Mus musculus: one gene and its partner. The protein of the gene in region 2 purifies or fractionates together with the protein of the main gene of each other region. This does not show direct contact. Links are inferred from orthologs where the notes say so. Each region holds a gene or a part of one and is shown on either strand. Other genes may lie near its edges.

Region 1 (3,649 bases), on a different chromosome or scaffold from region 2:
GACTGTGGGTTCTATAACCTGGGGATGGTGGTGCATGCCTTAACTCCTAGCACTGGGGAGGCAGAGGCAGATGATGAATTCAAGGCCAGGCTGGTCCACAAGAGTGAGTTCGAGGATGGATGGCCAGAGCTACATAGTAAGAAAAAGGGAGCACCAATAAGCCAGCTTGTCCTCTCCTCTAGTCCTTAAGCCCTGGCATTTGGAAAGCTGAGGCAGGTAGATAGCTATGAATTAAATCCAGCCTGCTTCACACAGTGAAATCCTATCTCAAAAAACAAAAACAAAAAAACCACAAAGCAACACAATTCTTTACTGGGGGACAGTGGTAAAGAACCCAGGTACAGTTCTAAGCACCCACTATCATCAGTATCTGCACGCCAAGGGGATCTGATGCCCTCACTTCGGCCTCCAAAGGCACTGCATGCAAATGGGGCACATAAAAAAAGCAGGAAGAACACTCAATCAGGTAAATAAATCCAAAACAAAACCTGTTAGGTCTTTATGGTCTCAAGACTATCTTAAATACAAGGCTGTGACATCACAAACTGCTAAAAGATTTTAAAATTCTCTTTAAAGAAATAACATCTTGTGCTGATCTCGGCAGCACATATACTAAAGAAATAAGTACATCTTAACATCTTAAACAAAGCTCTAAAAGTCAGGCATAGTGGTTTATGCCTTTAGCCCAGCACTTGGGAGGCAAAGGCAGATCTCTGTGAGTTCAAGGCCAGTCTGGTCTACAGAACTAGTTCTAGGACATCCACGGCCACCAGAGAAACCCTGTCTTGAAACAAACAACAAAAAACCCAAACAGAGCAACACACCCAAAGCTCTATGACTCTATCAGTAGTTGTAGCCTTTACTTTATGTTTTGGTTTTCCTTATTTTTCTTTAATGGTTACACCTTCACTATTATCACTTAATACAATACAATCTACCACTGGATTCCTTTTTAAAATTGTTATTTCACCACATTCTCAGTAGAAAAGCACCAGAAAGCATATATAATATTTTAAATAGTCCAACATCATACCCTACAAGCACACCCAAGAATAGCTCTCAAGACAAGCACGGCCAGACTCTCCTGGCTTTTGTACACTCAGGTATACAAGCTGATATAATCACATCATTATTGTAACCTCCCATCCTAGAGGGTTTCTCTGTATGTAGTTGTGTAGTCCTGGCTGTCCTGGAACTTGCTACATAGTCTAGGCTAAAACTCAAGAGATTTGTTGTCTTCTGACATAATGTGCCACTATACCCCACCTAAATCTTGTATTTTTAATCTTGCATCACACTAAGACAACTTCAAGCTACACATATGATGCAGGCATCCCAATCAATTTGTACTACAGGGAGTCTAAAGCTTCCTTTGTAACTACAAATAGACCTATGCAGTGTAACATGTCTTAAACAGACACTATGGCCCTTATCAGTGCTGAATGAATGAAATTATAGAAATGTAATCATCTTTCAGCCCTGAGGTACAATTTTTGGGAATACAACTCTCAAGTGGGATGTGGGACAGCAAAGTATATAAAGAATCTTAAGCCGGGAGTGGTGGCGCACGCCTTTAATCCCAGCACTTGGAAGGCAGAGGCAGGCGGATTTCTGAGTTCGAGGCCAGCCTGGTCTACAGAGTGAGTTCCAGGACAGCCAAGGGCTACACAGAAAAACCCTGTCTCGAAAAACCAAAAAAAAAAAAAAAAAAAAAAAAGAATCTTAAGATCAACATGTAAGCTGGGTGTGTTTAACAATAACAATGTTGGTGACCAACCTACACAGCTTGAAACTAATACTGGATCCCCAGACAGAGACATTAAGAGGCTGTCAATCAAAGTCAGGTAAGATTCTGCACCAAGTCTCATCAACCTAAGACAGAAATGCATTGCTTTTGATAATGCTTCTTGTCAAAACAACCTAAGTCTTGTTTATAAAATCAAAAAGAGGGAGATGTGGAGAGCTCTTGGGGCCACTTCTAGAAATTTGGCAGGAATTTGACACTGGGCTAGGAGAAGGAGTAGGCTCAAGATCTTGATTATCTTGATTAAGTCCCTGAATGCCATGGGACTTTTTTTATTGACTTGTTTTTTCCTTGACCTAGAACTGACCTTATTCTTCGCATGTACTTAGAACGGTATAAAAGCAGACTGGGAAAAAATAAACCTACTTCAGCCTTATCACTGGCTGGAGTCATATTAAAAAAAAAAAGCCGGGCGTGGTGGCACACGCCTTTAATCCCAGCACTTGGGAGGCAGAGGCAGGCGGATTTCTGAGTTCGAGGCCAGCCTGGTCTACAAAGTGAGTTCCAGGACAGCCAGGGCTACACAGAGAAAGCCTATCTCGAAAAACCAAAAAAGAAAAAAAAAAATTAAAAAAGGCTGGGCATGAAAAGATCAATTTTTAGTTAAACTAACCAGTGGCACAATCAGATAAAGGAAAAGAAGGAAAAGAAAGGTTGAGCCAGGTGGTGGTGGTGTTGCACACTGTTAATCCTAGCACTCGGGAAGCAGAGGCAGGTAGACCCAGCCTGATCTACAGAGTGAGCTCTAGGATAGCCAGGGTCACACAGAGAAAACCTATCTTGAAAAACTAAACCAGCCGGGCAGTGGTGGCGCATGCCTTTAACCCCAGCACTTGGGAGGCAGAGGCAGGCAGATTTCTGAGTTCAAGGACAGCCAGGGTTACACAGAGAAACCCTGTCTCAAAAAAGACCAAAGGAAAGAAAAATGACACAAATATGGAAGTCACATTGAAAGAAAAATCTGAACACAGCTGACAGCTGCATCCACAAAGTGTGTGTAAATGTTTGTATACCTCGATCATCATATATGCATACATAGGTATGAAAGAAATAATGTTGTCTCATAGATCTAGTTTCCCATAGTAAATAAATAAACCACTCACCATCTGCCACACTTGCATGATATTGTCTTCTGATACAGAACAAATCACCCAAGGCTCATTGGGATTCCAGGAGAAGTCAGATATCTTGGCAGTGTGACCACCATGAATAAACTGGAAGGCCCAAAACAAAGACATTAAATACAGACCACTTTAAGTCACAGCCCACTCATTATTTAAACACTGAAGATCCCAAAGTGTCTGACTTGTAACATACCAACAATTCTGGTGGGCCATCCTCTGCATCTTCTGGGGACTGCTCTTCTCCAATTTTACTTTAAAACAAAAAACCAAAAAAGTCAGAAATTGAGCTGGTGAGATGGCTCAGCAGGTAAGAGCACTGATTGCTCTTCTGAAGGTCCTGAGTTCAAACCAGCAACCACATGGTGGCTCACAACCATCTGCAATGAGATTCTGGAGCATTTGAAGACAGCTACAATGTACTTACGTAATAATAATAATAAATAAATCTTTGGCCTGGAGCGAGCAGAGGTCCTAAAAACTCAATTCCCAACAACCACATGAAGGCTCACAACCATCTGTTCAGCTAAAGTATACCCATACACATAAAATAAATAAATTAAAAAGAAAAGGTCAGAAATCATTACACTCAGTACCTGTCATTGAAAAATGTAGACAGTAACTTTGCTAAGCTGGGTGGCACTCAGGAAGCAGAGGCAGGAAAATCTCTTTGAATTTGAAGTCAACCTGGTCTACAGAGGGGATCAGAGGACAGCTGTTCCCA
Region 2 (3,749 bases):
TTGCCTCGGGCCAGACAGGTGGCCAGACAGGTGGCGGGCCGGCTTCGGAGGCCTGGACTTGCCTGGACTTGCCCAGGTCTTGGTAAGAGATTTAGGCCTAACCTCCTTAACTGCCAATTTGAAGCCTGTCATGGAGTCAGCCTAGCCTTCTCAAGCGCTGGTATTAGAACCTTGCTAGGCAGAGACCCAACAGTTCTCCAGGAGTCCCTCAGGTCTTCACAGGCAGATTGGGCTGAGGCTCCTAGCTTTGAGGACTGACCACCAGGTTTTCAGCATTTGCTGTGAGACAACCACTGTCTGGCCTCTCCAAGTGTACCACATAAGCCAAGGTGGTAAGTCATCTTTTAATATATGTTCATTCCATTGGTTCCTTCTTTTCTAGAGAGACCCGATATACCAAAGATCAACTTTCCATACGGCATGCATCATTTTAAAGCGTATCAGCAAATGTGTTGACACCAGGGAGTCTGGTATTTGAATACCATCGTAGAGGTAAATAGCAAATTATCCTCTGGGAGAAAAAAAAAAATCCAAAAGCAACTAAATAATAAGGCCCATGATTAAAAATGGGTAGTATCCTATGATTAGTTCAAGCCACTAGGACCTCATACAAGTCCAACTAAATCAAGCCACTTGAGGTAGTGTTAGTAACCACTTTTAGTGAGCTAAATGGTTGTCCAGAAAACTTAAGAGCAAAAGCAGGTATATTTCTAAATTTTACTTTTAATAGTTGTGCACGCTAGCATGTAATCAGAGCACAGCTTTCGGGAGTCTTCCATTTTGGGTCCCTGAGTTCTTTAATATGGCACTATTTTTCAATTTGGGAGCACAAAGAAAGTCTATAATGGGTTAGTGGCAGAGCCTTATGTCTACCATAAGTATGACTCTGAATTGGTCACCCAGCTCCAAAATACGAATAAAATTCAGAGGAACCTTTTAAAATGGGTTATGGCAAAGTTGAATCAAAAAGTTTAAAAACTTCGAAATGAAACCCCCACAGAAAAACTTGCGTTCGGGCCAAAAGATGGGAAGGACAATCGCCTTAAGCTGTTTGAGAATTCACATTAATTTCTAAGCAAGTCTCTAGTGGCCAGCAAGCCGCACAGGCTGGGACGCCGAAGACATGGGGTGAGGGCATCCTCACGTGCGGTGGCTAGGCAACCGCGGGCGCCTTCTCACGGTGCTAGCCCCGCCTCCTGAGGCACTTCCGCCGCCGCGCGCCTGGACCTTCTCCCTCTCATTGGTTCGTGGCTCGCCGAGGATGGGCGGGGGAAACGCGTAAGTCCTTGCGGTCACTTCCGGCCCGGGAGCGCGCGGGTTGATTTGTCCTTCCTCAGCTGCGGGCGCTCGGAGCTCGGAAATGGCGGGTAAGTTCCCGGGAAAAGTTTAGCAAGGGGAGGAGGCGGGTGCTTCTGGGGAAGAACGTTGAGGCGGCCGTGACAGTGGCCGCCTGGAACTTTCGGGCTCTAGCAGAGGTTCCAGAAGGCCTCTCCCTTCCGCGAGGCACTGAGGGTCGGGGACTGGCTCCCGGTGGGCCGCGCTCGGCGCCACCGCCCCCGGTGCTGACGCTCGGCGCCTCCCGTGGGCCTCCCGGGCCTTGAGCTCAGGCAAGGCGCTCAGTTTGGTCTGGTGGAGCGCGGTCTGCCTCGGAGCCTTTCACCCCCTCGTTCCCCTTTGCTCACTGTCGCCCTAATGTAACCCATTAGGTCCAGTTCCCGCCAGCTGATCCTCTCCAGGGCCCTGCCCACCTCCCTCCCAGCCAACTTCTGAGCGAGCGCGGTGCTGCTGCCCTGCCCTGGTTCAGGGCACACTCAGGGTCTCATAACCCTTCAGGATTCCTGAGATCATTGTTTTTTTAGATGTCCTTTGAGAAAGTCGTTTTTACACTGCCCAACTTGTCACTTAGAATGGAACTTCTGTGCTGTGTGTAGTAGAATCCTCTTGCTGTGCTTTATTCGTTTCTAGCCTTGGAGAAATTTCTGGTGGAGTATAAGAGTGCCGTGGAGAAGAAACTAGCAGAGTACAAGTGTAACACCAACACAGCAATCGAGCTGAAACTAGGTGCGTATTTCCTTTCAGAGGAGTTCTGTGTGTGCAGCCCTGTATTTAACAGAGCCTTTAAAATAGGAAACACAGCTTGAGGTTAAGACGATTACGTAACAGGTACTTTCTGCGTTGACTGGACATGGAGATTTTAGGCAGTTCTCTAAGTTCATGCGGTAGAAGGGGTAGGGGAAAGATAGTGATAAGAAAGTGAAAGATAGTGTGGCAGAAAGTATATGTGATCTCATCTTAAAAATTGCAAATACACCAGGCAGTGGTGCCGCATGCCTTTAATCCCAGCACTTGGGAGGCAGAGGCAGGCGGATTTCTGAGTTCGAGGCCAGCCTTGGTCTACAGAGTGAGTTCTAGGACAGCCAGAGCTATACAGAGAAACCCTGTCTCGGGGGAAAAAATTGCAAATGGGGGATGGAGAGATGGCTCAGCTGTTAAGATCATTGACTGTTTTTCCAGAGGTCCTGAGTTCAAATCCCAGCAACCACATGGTGGCTTACAACCATCTGTAATGAGATCTGATGCTCTCTTCTGGTGCTCGTACTTACATATAATCATTCAATCAATCAATCTTCAGGCCCCAGGGAGCAGGACTGGTAAGAGCACTGACTGTTCTTCCGGAGGTCTTGAGTTCAAATCCTAGAAACTACATGGTGACTCACAAACATCTATGATGAGATCGGATGCCCTCTTCTGGTGTGTCTGAAGACAGCTACAGTGTACTTAGATATAATAAATAAATCTTTTTAAAAAAAATTGCAAATATGATAATAACAGCTGTTGGTTAGGATGTGGAAATTCATGGGTTGCTGGTATTATATCTAAAATGATATAACAACTTTGGTTTGGAAAAAAAATTTAAATGTATTTTATGTTCATAAGTGCTTTCTCTATCTTCATGAATACCAGAAGAGGACATCAGATTCCCACCATGTGTTTGCTGGGAATTGAACTCAGGACCTCTGGAAGAGACCAGTGCTCTTTTTTTTTTTTTTTTAAAGATTTATTTATTTATTATATGTAAGTACACTGTAGCTGTCTTCAGACACTCCAGAAGAGGGCGTCAGATCTTGTTACAGATGGTTGTGAGTCACCATGTGGTTGCTGGGATTTGAACTCCGGACCTTCGGAAGAGCAGTCGGGTGCTCTTATCAACTGAGCCATCTCACCAGCCCTAGTTTAAAAAAAAAAACAAACATAAATTAGCTACGTGAGCCAGCCCTTTTATTAGGTGTCTGTTCAAGGGAAGTGAAGATGTTCATTTATACATGAATACTTAAAAGTGAGTTATTTACAATAGCCAAAAAGTGTAAACAACTCATAAAGCAGTTGGTAAACAGATAAAGTATGCCATAGTTATTCAGTGGAATATTGTCTGACAATAGAAGTTCTGATACCTGTCACACAATGTGGAGAAATCTGAAAAACATGCTAAGTAAAAGAAGGCAGGCAAAACCAGTATAGTGTGTCCATTTGTTTAAAATGTTCAGAAAGGACATCTGCAAAGACAGACGGTAGAGAATCATTACCCCAGGCTAAATGTAGGCTCCTGACTGTCCTGGAACTTACTCTGTAAACCAGGCTGGTCTTGTATTTCCCTTAGTGATGGACCTGAAATCATAAGCCATTTAAATCCTTGACAGAGTTGCTTTTAGTCAGTGTTTTATCACAGCGCCAGAAATGAAACTAGAACC

What was found.
Region 1: the proteins of Hat1 (region 2) and Rbbp4 purify together in Homo sapiens (affinity purification with mass spectrometry; 5 studies listed by BioGRID and IntAct, with this or other methods). This does not show direct contact. The link is inferred for Mus musculus from reciprocal best matches to the Homo sapiens genes HAT1 and RBBP4.

The regions. Positions count from the first base shown.
Region 1 is NC_000070.6:129,314,741-129,318,389, forward strand, and holds part of Rbbp4 (histone-binding protein RBBP4), read right to left. Parts: intron 3,180-3,649; coding exon 3,122-3,179; intron 3,019-3,121; coding exon 2,908-3,018; intron 1-2,907. UniProt on the Homo sapiens protein: Core histone-binding subunit that may target chromatin assembly factors, chromatin remodeling factors and histone deacetylases to their histone substrates in a manner that is regulated by nucleosomal DNA.
Region 2 is NC_000068.7:71,387,938-71,391,686, forward strand, and holds the start of Hat1 (histone acetyltransferase type B catalytic subunit), read left to right. Parts: upstream 1-1,322; 5' UTR 1,323-1,360; coding exon 1,361-1,367; intron 1,368-1,965; coding exon 1,966-2,061; intron 2,062-3,749. UniProt on the Homo sapiens protein: Histone acetyltransferase that plays a role in different biological processes including cell cycle progression, glucose metabolism, histone production or DNA damage repair. Coordinates histone production and acetylation via H4 promoter binding.